3 linked regions of the Ovis aries genome follow. The protein of the gene in region 1 interacts with the protein of each later gene in a biochemical or structural test. Links are inferred from orthologs where the notes say so. Each region holds a gene or a part of one and is shown on either strand. Other genes may lie near its edges.

The links.
Region 2: of the proteins of histone H2A type 2-C (region 1) and MYSM1, one has a biochemical effect on the other in vitro, tested with the Homo sapiens proteins (2 studies listed by BioGRID). The link is inferred for Ovis aries from reciprocal best matches to the Homo sapiens genes H2AC20 and MYSM1.
Region 3: the proteins of histone H2A type 2-C (region 1) and UBR2 form a complex in vitro, tested with the Homo sapiens proteins (2 studies listed by BioGRID, with this or other methods). The link is inferred for Ovis aries from reciprocal best matches to the Homo sapiens genes H2AC20 and UBR2.

What each region holds. Positions count from the first base shown.
Region 1 is NC_056054.1:99,992,245-99,994,887, forward strand, and holds histone H2A type 2-C, read left to right. Parts: upstream 1-1,555; 5' UTR 1,556-1,608; coding exon 1,609-1,998; 3' UTR 1,999-2,048; downstream 2,049-2,643. Other genes in the region: histone H2B type 2-E, read right to left, coding at 905-1,285; histone H2A type 2-B, read right to left, coding at 2,164-2,556. UniProt on the Homo sapiens protein: Core component of nucleosome. Nucleosomes wrap and compact DNA into chromatin, limiting DNA accessibility to the cellular machineries which require DNA as a template.
Region 2 is NC_056054.1:33,411,429-33,415,570, reverse strand, and holds the start of MYSM1 (deubiquitinase MYSM1), read left to right. Parts: upstream 1-1,317; 5' UTR 1,318-1,327; coding exon 1,328-1,392; intron 1,393-4,142. UniProt on the Homo sapiens protein: Metalloprotease with deubiquitinase activity that plays important regulator roles in hematopoietic stem cell function, blood cell production and immune response.
Region 3 is NC_056073.1:16,292,539-16,296,774, forward strand, and holds the start of UBR2 (E3 ubiquitin-protein ligase UBR2), read left to right. Parts: upstream 1-1,411; 5' UTR 1,412-1,490; exon of another isoform or gene 1,491-1,634; 5' UTR 1,635-1,774; coding exon 1,775-1,852; intron 1,853-4,236. UniProt on the Homo sapiens protein: E3 ubiquitin-protein ligase which is a component of the N-end rule pathway.

The DNA of each region.
Region 1 (2,643 bases):
AAAAAAAAAAAACCAACTATTAATAGCAAAACAATTTCTGACAGCTGCTAGGAAGAAAATAAAATAGTGAGGGACCAGAGGCAGGAAGGAGAGACACAACTTCCCGAAGGTGTCTGAGAGGTGACGTTTGAGACCAGACTAAAATGACTAGTGCCTTCCGGTGACTTGACGCCGAAATATTCCGAGAAAAGAGAATTAAAAGCAAAAATGATCCACAAACCAAGAAATAACAGGAATTTCACAGCGCCAAAGTGAGCGGCGCAAACCAGAACCTATGAATTCCGGAGCGGCGGGAGAGTTTGAATATTCATGTCCAATCAGGGAAAGGCTGAGACCAGGCAGCGCGGGCTCAGTATGAAGTATCCCGAACCGCTGGTGTCCACAGGAAGCCACATCGCAAGGGCCTAATTCGTGATCCGGCACCCACGCAGCTGCCAAACTCGCAATTCTTCAGGGCTGTGATGCAGTGTTCGAAAGACCCGGGCTTGGTCGTGTCCTGGGGTCCTTTCTTAAATGTGGATAGCTGAAATCACTCACTTCGTTTTGGAACACCGGTGACACGTACCCAACAGAGCCACCAGGACACAAGTCTAGGAGCAGTCTCAGTATCCTAATTTAGAACTGACTCATACGAAAGCTAAGCAGCAGTGAGGGTTAAGACGCGCCCTAGATTCAAAAGCAAAGCCAGTCACGCGCCAGGAATCTCAAGTCATAAGGGCTTAAAAAGCTACGTGTGTCATCTTCTATTACTTTTAGCCAACTAGAGTAACTTACTTTGTGAGGAACTGAGGAGAAACAAGTGAACAAGGCTCTTTTCTGGTGATTAGGTGGGTGGCTCTGAAAAGAGCCTTTGGAAAATCAAGCGGCTTTGCGACTCGTGCGAGCGCCGCGTCCCAGCAGGGACTCACTTGGAGCTGGTGTACTTGGTGACCGCCTTGGTGCCCTCGGACACGGCATGCTTGGCCAGCTCGCCAGGCAGCAGCAGGCGCACGGCCGTCTGGATCTCCCGAGACGTGATGGTTGAGCGCTTGTTGTAATGCGCCAAGCGCGACGCTTCGCCCGCGATGCGCTCGAAGATGTCGTTGACAAATGAGTTCATGATGCCCATGGCCTTGGACGAAATACCGGTGTCTGGGTGCACCTGCTTCAGCACCTTGTACACGTAGATGGAATAGCTCTCCTTGCGGCTGCGCTTGCGCTTCTTGCCGTCTTTCTTTTGGGCTTTGGTGACGGCTTTCTTGGAGCCCTTCTTGGGCGCGGGAGCGGATTTTGCCGGCTCAGGCATTGTGAAGCAACGCCGTTTGGCAAAAAAAGAGGTATGAGAATGGGCGGGCCTGATCCATTTATAACCACCGTATGCAAATTAAGGCTCCAAAAGTCTTACATTCCCATTGGTCCGTGGAGAGACCTTACGTTATCAGTAATAGCTACAGAATAACACCGACTCTTAACCTTATTGGCTGTTTCAGGAGCCAATTTGGGACCAATGAAAAGCTCGTTCCTGACCCCACCCCTCAGAAAACTTATAAAGGCTTTCCAATTGCTGATCTTTCTTAAACATTTGCCGAGGGGCTTTGATCTTTAAGGGTACTACTGTTATCTTTAGTCATGTCTGGTCGCGGAAAGCAGGGAGGCAAGGCCCGGGCGAAGGCCAAGTCGCGTTCGTCCCGTGCAGGCTTGCAGTTCCCGGTAGGGCGAGTGCATCGCCTGCTGCGCAAAGGCAACTACGCTGAGCGGGTGGGGGCCGGCGCGCCCGTCTACATGGCGGCGGTTCTGGAGTATCTGACGGCCGAGATCCTGGAGCTTGCCGGCAACGCGGCGCGAGACAACAAAAAGACGCGCATCATTCCTCGTCACCTGCAGCTGGCCATCCGCAACGACGAAGAGCTGAACAAGCTGTTAGGCAAGGTTACCATCGCGCAAGGCGGCGTTTTGCCCAACATCCAGGCCGTTTTATTACCAAAGAAAACCGAAAGCCATAAAGCCAAAAGCAAATAAAGCCTTACAAAGTAAACCAAAGAACAAAGGCTCTTTTTAGAGCCACCCAAGTTTTCAAAAAAAGAGCTAATGCGCTATTTTGTGATCAGCCCTTTATTTTGACACTTTGGTGGTGGCTCTTAAAAGAGCCTTTGGGGTGAGTGGGGATGGTATCAAGCCTCTTAATTACTTATTCTTGCCAGGCTTGTGACTCTCCGTTTTTTTGGGCAATAAGACTGCCTGGATATTGGGTAAGACACCGCCCTGGGCAATAGTGACACCCCCGAGTAACTTGTTGAGCTCTTCATCATTTCTCACGGCCAGTTGCAAATGGCGAGGGATGATGCGCGTCTTCTTGTTGTCTCGGGCGGCGTTGCCCGCCAGCTCCAGGATTTCCGCGGTCAGGTACTCCAGCACTGCCGCCAAGTACACCGGTGCGCCGGCCCCCACCCTTTCGGCGTAGTTCCCTTTGCGCAGCAGGCGGTGCACTCGCCCTACAGGGAACTGAAGGCCAGCGCGGGATGAGCGCGACTTGGCCTTGGCCCGAGCTTTGCCTCCCTGCTTTCCGCGGCCTGACATTACTGCTAAAACTGCAGTTACAGCTTCTTTTTCAAGGAGAACGATATGGCAAGGGTAACCAATTTGATGTAATTTATAAGAGCTACC
Region 2 (4,142 bases), about 67 Mb from region 1:
GAGGACTCATTCCATGAATCGATTGACTCATTCATCAGTATATTTACCAAGCACCTACTGTGTGTCAGACACTTTGCTGAATGATGATAGTATAAGGACTAGTGAAAAGACTAGCAGATACAGTGCTTATTCTTAGTGAATTCATCAACCAACAGTGGAGGCAGACAAGTGAATGAACAGCTACAATAACGGCAGTGATCCAAGGGAGAATAATCCATAAGGCCAACATCTAATTTCTTGAGAAACCATAAATTATTTGAGAGAAATGGCATTTGTCTTTCACAGTTCCCAACTACATGATGTGTAGAGGGTAAGCACTCAGTAAAGAGTCAAGAGGCCTAGATTCTGGTCCCAGCTGTCTTTGACCAGCTATCTTTCCTTTCCATTAGTTATTTCAGTTTTCAGAGCCTGTTTCCTCATCTGTAGAACTCATCTGTAGATAATATCAGTCCGGATTAATTCACTGTGCAATTGTGAAAATTAGTGGTCATGAGAATGATATTTTAATTAATTGTAAAGATCTCTACAAAGTAAAATATGTAATCATAAGTTATACCCTTAATTTTTTTGATAAAACAGATGTTCAGCACTTCAATAAGTACTGAATAATTCCTTAAAAAAGAAAAAAAGGAAACGAAAGAAAACCAGCAGGTAAGGATCACTGTTGCCACCTTCACAGTTCAAAGCAGGTCTAATCTGATATTTTCAGCACTCTAGATAAAAATATTAGCTCTTCCCTGGTGGCTCAGACGGTAAAGATCCCCTGGAGGAGGACAGGGCAACCCACTCCAGTATTCTTGCCTGGAGAATTCTCATGGACTGTAGCCCACCAGGCTGTGTCCATGGGGTCGCAAAGAGTGGGACATAACTGAGGGACTAAGCAGCAGCAGATTATTATTATTATCCCCATTTTACAAATCAGAGGAGTGAGGCGCCAAAGAATTTATGCAAGAGCACAGTCTCTTCAAAACCCAAGCCTGCGCTGCTTGCCAAGGCTTTTGTTGAAGCTTAGTCTTTAAGATGTGCATGACTATTTCGGGATTTCTCAGCAAGAATACCGAAGTGGGTTGCCAGTTCCTACTCCAGAGGATCCAATGTAGGGATCGAACTGGCCTATCGCAACCGGATTCTTTAGCACTGAGCTGCTCCTCAACAAAACCCCAGAACCCCAGAACTCCTTAGCATCTTTTCTCCGAAACCCCGCTTCCCCAGCCTGGAAAGAACTGGCAGAGCCGTCGACTCCGCCCCATGACGTACATGGCCCCGCCTTCAGGCCCTCCACTTCTCGCGGGATCTCTCGGGAGGACGGCTGGGGTCAGGTCCCATCATGGCGGCTGAAGAGGCAGATGTGGATATCGAAGGGGACCTAGTGCCAGCGGCGGCACAGTCTGGGTGAGCAGTTGAGACTGGGCTTGCAGAGACGAGGAGGGGCACGGCAGTGAGGAGGTACCCTCTAAAGGCCGCGGTTCCGGCAAGGGCCGGGGGAGTGGAAAACTATCCCCTGGGCCAGGGTCTCCTGCCGGCCTGAGAGGCGCGCCTCGCCCATCCCGTCTGTGGGCTCCTCCTGAGCTCAGAGGGCGGGTACCGTAGACTAGCGTGGGACAGCCCATTTACCGGGATCCTGTGAGGGCGCTGACCGCGCCTAGCACATTGCATACTCTTAAGCAATTAGATTGCTTCTTCCCTTACTGCCACTCCAGAACCCGCCTCCTTGCCACCGCCCAAAAAATAATTAGAACAGGGGCGGTCCCTGGACAGAACCCAACTTAGGAATTCTTGTTCCCTCGCTTGCAGGCCGTGTGACCTTGGGCGTGTCGTTTTATCCCTACTAGCCTCTGGTTTCCTCTTCCACGTAGGGGTAGTTATGAAAAACTTCCCGACATGCAGCGTGATCTAAAAGAAAGGGGTGGGACTTAAGAGTTTGACAGCTGTGTATTGACCCAGCTAGATGGCACCCCACTCCGGTACTCTTGCCTGGAAAATCCCAGGGACGGAGGAGCCTGGTAGGCTGCAGCCCATGGGGTCGCGAAGAGTCGGACACGACTGAGCGACTTCCCTTTCACTTTTCACGTTCATACACTGGAGAAGGAAATGGCAACCCACTCCAGTGTTCTTGCCTGGAGAATCCCAGGGACGGGGGAGCCTGGTGGACTGCCGTCTGTGGGGTCACACAGAGTCGGACACGACTGAAGTGACTTAGCAGCAGCAGCAGTTACTAGCAGTGTGACTTTGGGCCTCAGACAACTCGTGTGTAAGCTGACTGTCATGTTATGTGCTTCGTACGGTTACTGTGAAGATCAAATGAAATGATTTGGGGATGTGCTCTAGTATAAGAGAGGTGCTCTGTAAGTGTTGTGTTCTTTACCTTCCCACCACGGATAGTATTTTGAGGACCCAGTGAGAGGTCACCATTTAGTACCAGTTCCTGCAGAGCAGGCCAGTGTGACTTTTAAAAAGCAGCCTCCAGCTTGAGATATCTAGCTGTTTGACTCCTTGCTTGCAGAGAAAGAAATTGATACATGCGGTTTTAAAGATGTGCTTTCAGAATTCTCTTTTAGTAATAGAAGAGGCTTAGACTGGTCAGGATCAGAAGACCTCAGTTCTCAACTCAGCCAGCTGTGTTGCTTATAACTATGAACAAGTTCATTAGAAGTCTCTACATTAAGCCAGGTAAAATTGTGAGGCTTAGACCATTTTTGACCTATAGAATAGCAATTTCACATGATCCAGCCTAATAATAGCACCTTTGTAAATTGTGAAGAAGAGTACCAACCCCTGTCCATGAGGGACTGAAACAGAGCCGTTTAAAGTTTTCCTGAACTTAAAACACTATAAAAATGAGAAGTAACTAAGTCTCCTTCAGCTGTTTAGACAAAACAGTACAAGTCTCTACAAATGAACAGAAAGCCTTTGATAACAGTCTTTCACATTTGTGTAGATCAAGTTAATCTTGACCGAGTGCTTTTGCATGCGTGGTTTGATTTACTTTCCACAATAAGTGTATGAAATAGGTGTGAGGGATTCTTATCTGAAGTTCAAGGCAGATGAGCTGCCCTTGGAAACACTAAAGATTATCTGAGAGCACTGACTCTTCCCCTTTTTCCATGGGTTTTTCTTTATTTTTATGATCGTGTTTTATTTCTCTTTTTCTTTTTTCTTTCCTTTTCTTATTGTTCTGTTTGAGCCCAAAGTCTGCTGATGGCACTTACAGTCACATTAGTCTCATGAAACCAGTAACTGGTTGTTGGTTCCTGATGGTCATCGTCATTGTCTCACACAATTCTGTAGAGCATCATGAACATTACAGTCTAGTGACAGTTGTTCCCTAGTGTTGGTACTCTAATCATGTGGAATTTGGTGTGAGTAAACACTTAGATGCCCCTCTGAATTTTTCAGTTATAGCTGATCATGACATCTTGAGGGTTAATTGAAAACACACTTTTAAGTCCTTGCTAAGTGCTGGTTACCAAGGTTAGAAGATGCATTGAAGTGTTTTGTTTCCCTTCTACCATTCTTTCTTATCCTCTGTTTCTTCTACTTGTTCTTTAAATCATAGTATTTCCAAGGAATTTTTGTCATAAGACTTCTTATTAACCATACAGTCCATCTCTCAAGGCTTAAATTTCTGTTTAAGTTGGACCATATGAAATTTTCCCAATGTTCTACCAATTTTGACCCACACAAATGACATTTAATCTTAAATTCCATCTAATAACAGGCTGATATTGCCCAAATCTGTCACCAACTCAAATCTCTCTCATGATCTTCAGATCCATTTATCCATTTTCCTGAATCTATTTGCCCTTGGGTGAGCCACAAGCTCCTCAATCTCACTTTATAGAAACTTTCCTTACCCAACCTGCCTCTTCAAGTTCCCTAGTTCAATAAATGGCACCATCCACCCACTCATGCAGGGAAGAGACCTAGATTTTAACCTTCTTCCTTACCTCTCTCCTATTAGAGAGTCTGTAGATTCTGAGTATCCTCTCAGATGTGTTCACTTCTTCCTGTTCACATTGCTTGTGCTTTAGGTCTAAGTTACTGTCACTTCTCTCTAGTATCTATGTAATCACTCCCTCTTAACTGCTTCTTGTCTCTTTGACCCTCTTCTAGTCTTTTCTGAAGTTAGAGTAGTCTTTTCT
Region 3 (4,236 bases), on another chromosome or scaffold:
GTACCATCCCTCTGGGTCGTCCCCGTGCACCAGCCCCAAACATCCAGTATCATGCATCGAACCTGGACTGGCGATTCGTTTCATATATGATATTAAAGTTTCTTTAAAATGCATTTTAACGGCTTTAATTCTACGTTAGGACTCTTAAAGAGGCATTATCTTTGCTTCTGGGTTATAACAATCCCAGGCTTCCTCCAGGTTGTCTCTGGTTAGGGAGCCCATTAGGGCAAGGAGGTTGGGCAAAGAAGAAGGTAACATTGTATATATATAAAAGACCCTTTCAAGATCTCTCATTCTAGGTATTTACGCATATATGCGTACTATTTTTTTTCTGGATAGAATCATAAGAAAGTATTAAAAATGTTTTTCTTTGTGGAGAAGGACTTTGGGTAAGAGGCATAGTTATCATTTTTCCCTTTAAAAATATTTCCATTGAGTTTGAAGTTCTAACTTATATATATATTAGTTTCATTTTTTAAAGCGATAACAAGGCTTATTTGGACTGTGGGATTATGGGTAATTTTTATTTCCTTAAAAGAAAAAACTTGGTAATATTATAGTTTTGTTAACAACAATAACACCCAGCAAAAAAAAAAAAAAATTCCTAAACCTGGATTCCATCAGAATTTTTTGCCTAATGTAATTCACAGCTTCTTTGTGGGATAAAGCTCATACCTAATACAACGTGTAAGCAATTTTCTGATAAACTCTAAAGGAACTGAAGACTTGTTCTAAGAAACCCACGCACCTGTCAGTCAAGAGTCTAATTACCTCTACCGAAACATAATTTCCTTTTGTGTCCAACCTAACAATGATTATCTATTTCTATAAAACGTCCCGATCAAGAGTAAATCTTTGAATTGGCTCAGTAGACTCCTTCTCCTTTGCAACAAGATGTGTAATAAATTTTAATAAGCGGTCATAACTAAATCACTTGAAACGTTTCCTTTCACACCAGTTTAACATGTTTTTAAAACCTTCAAAATCCTGGGGGATGTACACCTTCGTTACCAGTGTTGATGAATGACAGGGCCATAAACACTATAGAAATGTAACTATAAGAATGTTTATTCATTTGACAAGTATTTGAGTTCGTACCCACTCCAGGCTTTGAAAAGCACTGGAGTTCTACCACGTGCCAGGCACCGTTCTAAGCTCTGGGATATAAAAATGAACAAACGGTGTTGAGGGATAAAACTACAGTACCACACAGTATCTCGCGCTTCTGCCTCTTCCCAGGTGGTCTCTTCCCACGATTCTAGCGGTGCGGAAAAGCCCCGCCCGCTTATCTGCCATTTCTCCAAGCTCTAAGGAGACGAAGGGACTACAACTCCCACAATGCCATCCGGGGGGATGTCCTTGTAAGGGTTCCACTTTTTCCCTGGCCTTGCGGAGGACGACTACAACTCCCAGAGTGCTCTGCTTCCTCTTTGGGGTGTTATTGCCCCTTTCACGGTGCCGGACGCTGTAGAAACGGGCAGGAGTGCCAGGTCCGATGTTTTCTGTGCCCTTCCCCGAGGCAGGGACGAGGCGGTGACTTGACTCTTGGGCGCAGAGCCCGGGAGGGAGCGCAGGAAACGCTGTCCCTTCTGCCCGGCTCACCTCGCGCTACTCTTCCTCTTCTCCACCCGCAGCCACCTGAACTCCTGCTCAAGACCGACCGCCCCAGGCAGGGTGGTGGCTTTGCGCCCCACCTCCCCCCCGGGCCGTGGCGAGGCCGCTGCCCTCGGGGCGGCAGTAGCGGCGTCAGCGCTGGGGAGGCGAAGGAGGGAAGATGGCGTCGGAGCTGGAGCCTGAGGTGCAGGCCCTCGACAGGAGTTTGCTGGAATGTTCAGCTGAGGAGACCGCGGGGGTGAGTGCCTGGACCGGGTCTCGGATGTCCGGCCGTGGCAGGCCGCGCCCTGCGGGAGGAACCGACTCCTGGGAATCCCCGAGTGGCGGGCCCTGACTTGGGGTGACGACCCGGCTCGCGGGGCCTCGCCGTGTAGGGTAGGACTTTCCCTGGCCCGAGGAGGCCCCAGATCCTGCCCCTCTCCTTCCCTCTTTATCTACAAGTAGCCGGCAGCGCTGCTGGGTGCACCAGCCACCCTCGCGTTCCTTCCGCTCTTCCATTATTCCTCCTTTTCCCCACAGTCCCAGTAAGTCCCCCAGCACAGGGCCTTTGCCCTCTGTGCCAACTCTGCTTCCTGGGTTTTTGGATACTTTGTCTTCCTGAATCGTTTTCCGGAAATAAGCGGAGCCTTGCCTCCCCATTTGAAACCTGCCGCCTTTACTTTGTTTCTGGGACCGTTCTTGGCATCCAAAGATGCCAGCGACACTGTTCTCCGTCTTTACCCCTCCTTTTCAGTGTGTTTTTGCCCTGGTTTGGTCAGTCGACGTTACTGAATGTGCGAAGAGTTAGTGTCTTGACACATTTATGGAGTGTGAGAAAGTGGTCGTTGAGACTGGGAGATTAAAACAATAATTCGTTTAGGAGTTGGGGGTAGTTGGACGGGGAACAAACGTTATATAACTTTGAGAGAGCGGCTGTCAGTAAATGGAAGCTAATAATGTGGCCACAGCATGGTGAGAGCAGTTAATGCCCCAAACTTAAAGCATTCAAAACCAGTCTTGTACTGAACCTGTAATCTGAATATGCTCATATAAGGAGCAGAGTTATAAAACAATTAATAAAACTCGATGATATCTTTCCTCCAGAAGGACAGGGAACACCCATTAGAACAGATTGCCCAGAATGATTATGAATGGACCAAAACAGCTTAGGCCCCACCTTTCGTGCTTCCGATTTTAAAAAACTATTAATAGGGAGGAAGTGACCTTTGAGCACAAACTGAATGTTAGGAACAAAATTGTAGTAGGGCACTATGGGGCTGTTGGTTAGTGAGTTATTTTGGGCGAATTGATGAGGACACTAGAGTCACAGGGGAAGTAAATGTCAGGAGTAGAGTTGAAAAGTTTCAAGAAACACGTTGTTGAATGATGCATTTTTGTTTTTAAACCAGCTTGCTTAGTTCCATTTTCATTTACTTTCTGCTTAATATTGCAACAACCCAAGGATTTTCCCCGTCTGCCTTTCATTTATCGAGAGATTTGAAAAAAAAAACAACCGAAAGCTGTGCTTAAAGTGAATAGTAAAATGATAACAGCTGTTCCCTATCCATGTCGTCCTTTCAGTATCCATGTTGATATCTGTCCGGTTATTTACCTGACATTTTTTTTTTCCTCCCGCCGAATTTTGCCTGTGACCTAGTGGTACAGGCTATGTACTCTGTTTTCCCAGTTCTAAAATTGCAAGCTGCTATACACCTAAAACTAACACAGTATCGGTAATCAACTATACTCCAATATGAAATAAAATTTTAAATAAAAGTGCAAGTTATTCAGTGAGAGCTTCTCAAATTTGTTGAGATTTCCTGAGTGAGCAGTTATAAAAGCAATGCTAGAGACCAGTGCTCCTAGTCCTTGTGCAGTGAAATTCTCAGTCAGATGTAGTGGGGGGAATTAAGGGAAATGCAATCAAAATTTAGTACTCTGGACTTGGAGTTTGTAAAGATCAGAGTCTGAGCTACACTTTAGTTTTGCTTTGTTTCCTTTTAAATGGATTTCTGAATAATAAGATGGGAAAAAATTTACTCTGAAGGCCAACAGAATTTCTTAAAGAAGACTCAGGCTAGTATTAAAATACAGGATTTTTCAAGCAGTATAATTTGCCCTTACTTTGTGACGCGTTTATTGTCTGTATTTGGTTAAAACAGCATAATGCTTTAGTATTCTCCCAGCTTTAGCTCCAGCCCAGCCTTTGTCACAAATTAAAATGAATAAAGTTTTCTCAGGTTAAAATAAACTTTAGAGAGAATAAGCAAATAATAAATAATTATTGCAGCCTTTAGACCTCTGTAGCTGGTAATTGGTTGGGATCACATCCGTCTAAAATTACTAATAAGCACTGGTGTCATTTTCCCACACTGTATTTACACACTGGCTTTTCTTATTTGTATGAGGAGGAAGGACTTTTGTGACCCCATCTATTCTTTACTAGAATGCCTCTCAGAAGTATTTAAGCACTCCAGTACTTTTAAGTTTAGGATAGAAAAGTGACTGGCCCTATGTTCTAGTTTTCTCTTTCCTTTGGTAGAGTTGATTCTGCAAGTATGTTCAGTTCAGTCGCTCAGTTGCGTCCGACTCTTTGCTACCCCGTGGACTGCAGCATACCAGGCTTCCCTGTCCATCACCAGC